Tribolium castaneum: one gene and its partner. The main gene of each other region encodes a partner of the protein of the gene in region 2 in a complex. Links are inferred from orthologs where the notes say so. Each region holds a gene or a part of one and is shown on either strand. Other genes may lie near its edges. The genes, in order: Tgt and queuine tRNA-ribosyltransferase accessory subunit 2.

Region 1 (3,704 bases), on a different chromosome or scaffold from region 2:
GTTTCACCTCCTGTGCTCCTGTTTATGGGGCTAGACAAATATGAAAGTGAGAATTTCACCCGATAATTTTTTTGTTTCATTTGTGAACTTGCAGACGAAGATTTGATTAAATGGGGCTGGCCTGAGGACGTGTGGTTCCACGTTGATAAAGTATCTTCAGCACACGTCTATCTAAGACTACGACCCGTAAATTTGGCCTTATCTCCCTAACGTGAATTAATTATCGTCTTTTAGGGTCAGACCATTGACGATATTCCGTCTTCGGTTTTGGAAGACGCTGCTCAGTTAGTGAAAGCCAACAGCATAATGGGGAACAAAATGAACGATATTGAAGTTGTTTACACCATGTGGCACAATTTGAAGAAGACGCCTGCCATGGAAGTGGGTCAAGTTGGCTTCCACAAAGAGAAAGAAGTGAGGAAAATTAAAGTCGCAAAACGAGTCAATGAAATTGTAAATAGACTGAACCGAACGAAACGAGAGGAACATCCAGGTACTGGGTCAATTTCCCTTGGTGTTCCCCAATTTTTTGGTAGATTTTAGAGCCGAGCGGGAGAAGAGAGACAGATTAGAAAGGGAGGACAAAAAGAAGGTGTTGAGGGAGCAAAAAGAGCGGGAAAAAGAGGAAGAGAAACGGAAAAAGGAGGAGGCAGAGTTAAAAAGTTACAACTCTCTGATGAGCACTGAAAACATGTCCAAGTATGACGACGGGAACGATTCAGACGACTTCATGTAAACCGGTAACACTCCTTAATGTAAATAAGATACTTCCGTTCTTTTTTTCTATTTATTGTATAAAATAAATTAATACTTATACCGTTAGGCTTATGTTGACCGCACTTAACGAGTCCCTAACCCAAGTAGGATACTCCTTATTTGGATAAAGGTCCAACATGAATTTGCGCACAAATTCGGGGAACTTGTCTTGCTTGATACTCTCTCTGATGTCTTTCATCAAACGCATTTGAAAGACCACGTTATGTTCAGTGATTAGGTGACAGGCTGATGGGTACACTGTCACAACACCATTCAGATAAGCTCTGGTGTAGTTTTTACACGTTTTACAGGGACAGTTTTCATCAATAGGTTTGAAGTCTTTTTTGAATTTTTCTTTCTTTAAATTGAGTTGACCTGTCCTCGTTAATGCACAACCAAACCTCTATAAAAAATTCTATTAGGACAAAATTATTATATTCGGTAAATTACCGCCGTCCTTGTTGGAAAAACACAGTCAAACATGTCGCAACCTAAGGCGCAACAAATTACTAAATCTTCGGCAAAGCCAACGCCCATCAAGTAGCGGGGTTTGTCCTTTGGTAAAATATTGGTACATAAGTGGACTATTTTCCAAAAATCGTCTTTACTTTCACCTCCACTGCAAGTGTTTTATAAAAGATTAAAAGAACGTATATCAAGAGTGTTGTGAAATTAACCAGTTATCTGTCATTTGAGACTAGATAAAATATTTGTTGATAAATACCTTAGACCACCAATGGCATATCCATTGACGTGTCTCTTGATGTGATCTTTGGCGCTTATCTCACGTAAATCCTCATAGAGGGTCCCTTGTACTATTGGAAAAATGCTTTGGGTGTCCGGTTTTTTGTGCGCTTGCAAACACCGATCAAGCCACCTTGTCGTTCTATAAATCATGGGTGACTTGATTATTAAAGTAAAATCTTAATTTTGAATAAACCTGTGCACAGATTCCTCAATTCTCGCCTTATCTGGATTCGTGGTCCTGACAACATCATCCAATTGCATGACTATGTCAGCCCCGATTGCGTTTTGAATTTCAATGGAATGTTCGGGTGTCAACATAACTTCAGCCTTTTGGTCATTCAGAGGCTGAAAACGTACACCCTCCTCTGTGATTTCAGCCAATTTTAACAACGACACCATCTGGAAGCCCCCAGAATCCGTCAAAAGACAATTGTTCCAGTTCATAAATTTATGCAAACCGCCGGCTTTTTCCAAAATTTCGACACCCTACAAGTATGGATAATTTAATCTTGATTTAATTTTTGGCGAGTGTCGTACTGGTTTTGTGCCTAAATGATAAGTATTGGCAAGCATGATTTGGAGGCCGAGCTCTTCAAGCTGTTCCGGCAACATTCCTTTCAAGGTTCCCTACGTAATAATTAGAAAAGGGCGTATAATTGGGAATTTACTATTTATCTACCTGAGTTCCAACAGGCATGAATACCGGCATGTCAACGGGGCCGTGGGGCAACACCATGCGGCTTACGCGGGCCTTTGTGGTGTGGCATTCGGCAATGAGTGTGAAAACTAGCGGACTTTTTGTGGTCATAATGTTGCAAATGTTGTTTTTAATAAATAAAAATGTGTTGTAAATGAGGAATTTTTGAGGTTAAAATCACATAACCTCATAATATACTGTCAGTAGATTTGATCTCGAAAGTCAAATGTTGCGAAAAATCCGCAAAATTCGAATAAAAAAGAAAAAAACACGAAGAATCAGTTTTTTTATTAATCTATGTTATGTCCTGTATTACGTGTTATTGCACAATGCATTTTAACGATCTTAACATTTATGTAATAAAATCCAAGGCTAAATATCCCGTTTCAAATTAGCAACATCCAAACATTCCAAACTGCATTTATTTAACAAAATAGCAGATAAAAATACATTACAATTTCTGTATTGTAAAGGAATTGTGAATCAATGAGATTCACTATTCATTAAAAATAAAAAAAACTCAATACAAAAAAAATACATTTCCAAGCTGAAAAACAAACTTGTGCTGCTTTATTATTTATTTTATAAAAAATCTATAACGAGGATAATCTGGGCGACTGAATGATCGTGCTAGAAAATTATATGAAATAATTAGCATATTATTTTTAGCTGCAAGAAAAACACAATAAATGGGCAATTACAGTCATACGGGAAGCCTATCTATAATTGCATTTAAAGCTGTGTCGTAAATAAACTACGCAACAAAAAACATTAAAGTCGCTTCTCTCTAGCATCGTTTGATGCAACATATGATTCATGGTCACAATTTATTTTTACACAATGTGCATTAAATCAAAACAGTTGCACAAAAATTGAGGAATTATTACAATTTTGGCGAAAAAAACATCACATTTGTATTTTTTATTATGCTGTTGCACTTGTAAATATTGTACAAAGCGCATGTTATGCAATGCATTTACAATAATAACATAGCAACATATCGTCATCACTTCCGCCTTGAAGTAAATAAAGAAATGTGGTGCATTTTTTATTTTTATTTACGGCTAGATATGGAGGAATTTAGTTCCAGTTCTACACATACATAAAAATGCTACTGGAGAATATTGAGAAATAGCATTTGCTTATTATTTTTTAACGCAGCGACTTGGTTTGTCGCTGATGTGCAGTACCTTCAGCATTGTTAAATAATTTGTTCCTGATTCAAATGGTTATTTTTTTGTATTTGATTATGTTTTTATGAAGTTTTTTTTGATGCTGTCATCTTTATGTTATGTTTGCACTTTTTTTATTAAAAAAAAGAAATTTTTTATTCATTTTTTATGTACTGCTACTATTTGTAGCAGTTGACTTTTGCAATAAAAATTAATCTTTCTGAGGTAATAGGTAAATTCATTAATACACACATAATAAGATATTTAAACTACTTTAAATTAAGGAAAAACCATTAACAGCCTCAACTCGTCAGCACGCTGACGAATAGTTA
Region 2 (4,361 bases):
AAATTTTGTCAAAGTTGCTGTTATTTTTACCGTTTTCAATAATTTAAAGACACTTTTAAAGCAAAAATCTTACAGTTTTTGCGATGATTACATTATTCTTGCCTTTTTTTTCTAAGACTAGCTCGTTTGTTATCCAGAAACACAATTATTTACAAAATGTAAGAAAAACAAGCAAATTAAGCCGAAAATACTGTTCTTCACCTTCTTCACGTCTTTAAGCACATTTTTGAGACAAACACAAAATTCTTTTTTAATTTTTTCGTGTTTTCTCTTTTGTAACTCAATAAAAAACTATTGTAAACAATGACCAAAAAATCACAAATAAAAACCTACCTCAGCTATGGCCCGTTCGGCGGCTTCCACCTTATCAAACGTGACAAACCCGCGACTAAAACCCAAACATGTAAAACCCCACATAAAAATTGTACCCCCTCATACTTTTTCTCAATCTCCATTGAAATATTCACAATATTTCCAATCGTTGAAAAATGCTTCTTCAAAAACTCCTCCGTTATCTTATACCCTGACACATAAATCGTATTCCCTTGCCTGGGTTTATCCGGCTTTTCCCTCTGTTTCTCAGTCAAACCCCTCTCTTCCCTATCACGCGCATTAGCAAAAGTATCATACAAATTCTTAATCCTTGGCGGCTTATTTTCGGGGTTATCAGGCCCATCGTCCATCTGCACAGCCGAAAAAGGCTGATAACCACTCACAATTTTATCCGAAATCAGTTTTCTTTCCAAGCCTCTAGGCCGTTTAAAGCCCTGTTCTGGCTGTTTTTGTTGTTTGGAAATGGCCGGAATGGCACCGGATTTGATAAGTTTTTTCGCAACCTCACGAGCATCTCGAGCCTCCGCTGGCCGTTTAGGCGTAATGGGCTTTTCGGGCTCGGGTTTGGGGGCTTTCAGGGCTTGCAAAGCCTTTTTCTGAGAGGAAGTTAGAAAAGGTTGTTTACACCGTTCCACTTACCTTTTTCTTAAGTTTCTGGTATTTGGCTTGGAGCATGAGCTCCTCTTCAGTGAAATTTGCCGGAAAATGAATGTAAACCATCGTTTAATCAAAAAAAAACTTGTCCAATTTGCAAACTGAATGACAGTTCGATGAATAAACATCAACACTAACAGCGGTTTAATGTGCAAAAGGTCGAAAATCACAGTACTAGTTCATAATTCAATTAATTTTAATTGTTTAATTTAGATAAACTATTCACTTTATAACCAATTCCAGTCAGCTAACTCAATGTCCAAAATTTAATACGCTAGTTATTTTTTTAATTCACGCAATACTGTACTGGGCCACTGTAAATTTCGATATGTCACACGTTGCCACACAAAAAATGCCAAAAAAACTACAAAACAACCACAATTAAATAATGAAAAAACTGGCAAAGTTTTGGTATATTAATGAATGAAATCATGTGAAGTTCGTTTTTAAAACGTAAATGAGTGTGTTTTTGCGCCCTGTCATCTATTTTTTCCCATTTGTGAGGCATGCAAAAGTAAGGTTAGGCCGGCATGTGTCCACTTTTTTCGGATTTTTGAATGTCATGTTTGCTTTATTTGTCAAAACCTAATTCTGGAAGTGATTTTAGTTGTATAGACTGCTTTTTCACACTTTTCCGAGTGCATTTAGTGTAAATTAACGATGAAATTTTACGTGGAATCTGTCTCAAAGTGTGCCCAACGTTTGGGGACTCTTTCAGAGATCGATGCCAAGCCTTCTGTCTCGATCAAGACTCCTGCAGTAATGCTCCACACACAGGTGAGTCCCCTATTTGGTTAACTGTCCTTAAAATTTAATTTAGGGCGGTCAAATCCCTCACATTACACATGAGGTGTTTAAACTGGTCAGTAGGGACCCCCAGATCTTGCAAATCCCTTTAGCTGGGATGCACACGTTTAAAGAGGCGATGCAGTATTACGAAGGGACCATTTCCAATTTCATTGGTAGTAAAGACAGTCTGACTTGTCTCACTCTTCAAGACCCTTGCAATATCACAAAACAGGGGCACAATTCCACGTTAAAAGTGCCCATTTGGACGAAAAACGGCAAGGTTTATTACGACGCTAAAAGCTACATGGACGTGGTGGAGTCTTTCAAGCCTGACATTTATTTCTTGCTCTCTGATGGAGACACCAATATCAGCAGTTCGGAAAAACGCATTTCAAAATCACTCAGTAACACAGTCAGTTTCTACAAGGAGTGTTTGGAGAGACACCGAAAATCGCAAACTTTAGCCAATTCGTTTGTGATTGCTCCTGTAGTGGGGGGTTATAAACAATTAGCTCGGGAAAAGTTTCTCAAATCGATTCTAGCAGATGTCAAAGATGTAGGTGGGTTTTTAATAGATGGACTTCATAATAATGGTCCCGAGACCGAGTTTTTGGAATTTGCTGAAATTGAGCCCGTGGTGAAAAATATTTTGGTATTTAACAACCGCTTCATTATTTCGAATTTTATGGTAATTTTTTTTTAGAATAAATTACCCACTGATAAACTACGGGTCATTCAAGGCTGTTGGAATCCCGTAAATGTTATTAATTTGGTCGAAATGGGGATTGATTTGTTTGACTCCTCATATTGTCATATTCTCACTGAAAGATCAGCAGCAATGACTTTTGCGATAGAACCAACAGATCAGACAGACACGTATGAAATAAATCTAAGAGACGCAAAGTAGGTACTTTTTGTTCAGTTAAATTTCTGATTAAATTGGTTCTAACATTATGTTGGCAATGATGATTTTTCAGGCTTTAGTAACAATAACTCACAAAGGAAAAGAGAGAATTTTGTTCAAAATTTAGTTAAAGGGTTGAAAAAACGAGTTTTTTTCGATAAAATTTGTGGTTCCCTTTATTTTTAACGAATTCTTGTGCTAAGTCGAAACAGCTAATATACAGCTGGAAAAAAACAATTTCGTTACAATTTAAGTGATTTTCGCGCAAAATAACGTTATTTTTGACAACATTTTGGGTTTTTTTGTATTACTTTTTTATGAAGTTTTGTTCAAGAAAATGAACCAAATGCAGCATATCACCAGAATTGACATTATTGTTGCCAACTTAATTCCAAAATCACAGCCCACTTTATCGAAATTTAATTGAATGCTTGGTGTATTTTCTCACAAAAAGTGTCAATTTTTTTCAGATATTTGGACGATTTTCAGCCAATTCTAACTGGTTGCAATTGCACGTCTTGCACAAAATATTCAAGGGCATACATACACCACTTGCTATCAGTACATGAGCTCCTGGGGCCAATCCTCGTGATGATGTGAATATTTTAATTAGAAGAAAAAATATAATTATGATTAATAATAATAATAATTTTCCAGACACAATGTGTACCACTATTTGCGATTTTTCGAAAAAATCCGCAAGTGCGTGAAATCAAACACCTTACAAGCACTCCAAGTGAGCATAACGGAACAATTCCAAAACCACCAAAAAACCAAGTGACGGGACACCAAATTGTACAAAATTTTCGTGTTGTACGACTGTTTTTCTATTATTTTTAAATAAATTGTCCGTTTGATAACTTGACTTAAGTCCCGCCCCCCTTACTTAACCTCGATTCGCAAAAAACAGCTGTTTTTTAAGGTTAAGTCATTCAGTTTGTTGTCTCCATTATTTACGTTTGTGCTCTAAATACTTAATTAAATGAATTATTTCACAATGAGTGATTTGTACAGTTAGTTGGTGTTAATTAATCGTGGCAGTTTTGAGGTTATGACTATTTTTAAACAATGGATCAGCAAAAATCAGAGATTAGCGATAAGTTAAGCCAACTTAAAGTGCAAGAAATGGGGCACCCACTTCAAGGGAACAATAATGAAGATTGTGAGACCGCTGAGGAGGCTATCACGACTGATTCTGAAGACTACCTATCAGAACCTTTAAGGTGAGTTATTTTACTTCAAAGAGTTGGAAATTAATTAGTGGACAGATATCGCAACTTCCAATATTCCACCACGACTTCCAATGATTCCAATTCAACACTAGTTGAAGAAAATTCGATTCCTGAAGAAAACGCCAATTTTTTCTCATACAACGGAGACAATCTCAACAATATACAAATTCCGATAGTTGGGTATGAGATTATGGAAGAAAGAGCGCGTTTTACGGTAATAAAATAAAATACCATTTTATCGTTTTAACGTGGAATAAAACAACGAATTTATCAAAAAAATGTAGGTTTACAAATTGCGCATTGAAAATAAAGTGAGTGGCGATTGCTGGTACGTTTTCCGGCGTTACACCGACTTTGTAAGGCTGTGCAATAGAATACGCAATTCCCACACCCACATTGTCCAGCTCCTCCCCCGAAAAAGGTGGTTGAAGAACAATTTCGATCCCTTA

Evidence for each region.
Region 1: the proteins of queuine tRNA-ribosyltransferase accessory subunit 2 (region 2) and Tgt are in contact, whole or in part, in a crystal structure (PDB 7OVS), measured with the Mus musculus proteins. The link is inferred for Tribolium castaneum from reciprocal best matches to the Homo sapiens genes QTRT2 and QTRT1. Residues at the interface, in NP_001343258.1 of Mus musculus: Arg39, Thr40, Gly41, Ser42, Ala43, Pro44, His45, Leu46, Thr47, His48, Gln49, Thr50, Asn53, Glu70, His71, Glu73, Val74, Glu77, Tyr78, Phe85, Ile86, Gly87, Phe119, Gln342, Glu343, Phe345, Tyr355, Asn359, His360, Ala363; in NP_068688.2 of Mus musculus: Thr50, Thr53, Met54, Lys55, Gly56, Ile57, Thr58, Thr59, Glu60, Gln61, Ser64, Arg80, Pro81, Leu85, Lys88, Ala89, Phe95, Met96, Asn97, Ala307, Lys308, Phe310, Pro320, Thr324, His325, Ala328, Phe329, Ala332, Leu333, His335.

What each region holds. Positions count from the first base shown.
Region 1 is NC_087398.1:8,185,618-8,189,321, reverse strand, and holds Tgt (queuine tRNA-ribosyltransferase catalytic subunit), read right to left. Parts: upstream 2,423-3,704; 5' UTR 2,312-2,422; coding exon 2,183-2,311; intron 2,131-2,182; coding exon 2,041-2,130; intron 1,990-2,040; coding exon 1,697-1,989; intron 1,643-1,696; coding exon 1,481-1,642; intron 1,376-1,480; coding exon 1,207-1,375; intron 1,160-1,206; coding exon 812-1,159; 3' UTR 774-811; downstream 1-773. Other genes in the region: coiled-coil domain-containing protein 25, read left to right, coding at 1-46, 95-186, 235-493, 537-736.
Region 2 is NC_087394.1:37,093,053-37,097,413, forward strand, and holds queuine tRNA-ribosyltransferase accessory subunit 2, read left to right. Parts: upstream 1-1,321; 5' UTR 1,322-1,647; coding exon 1,648-1,764; intron 1,765-1,807; coding exon 1,808-2,428; intron 2,429-2,479; coding exon 2,480-2,679; intron 2,680-3,150; coding exon 3,151-3,276; intron 3,277-3,337; coding exon 3,338-3,461; 3' UTR 3,462-3,540; downstream 3,541-4,361. Other genes in the region: Nelf-E (negative elongation factor E), read right to left, coding at 334-388, 439-929, 973-1,053; Snx16 (sorting nexin-16), read left to right, coding at 3,749-3,903, 3,949-4,126, 4,197-4,361. UniProt on the Homo sapiens protein: Non-catalytic subunit of the queuine tRNA-ribosyltransferase (TGT) that catalyzes the base-exchange of a guanine (G) residue with queuine (Q) at position 34 (anticodon wobble position) in tRNAs with GU(N) anticodons (tRNA-Asp, -Asn, -His and -Tyr), resulting in the hypermodified nucleoside queuosine (7-(((4,5-cis-dihydroxy-2-cyclopenten-1-yl)amino)methyl)-7-deazaguanosine).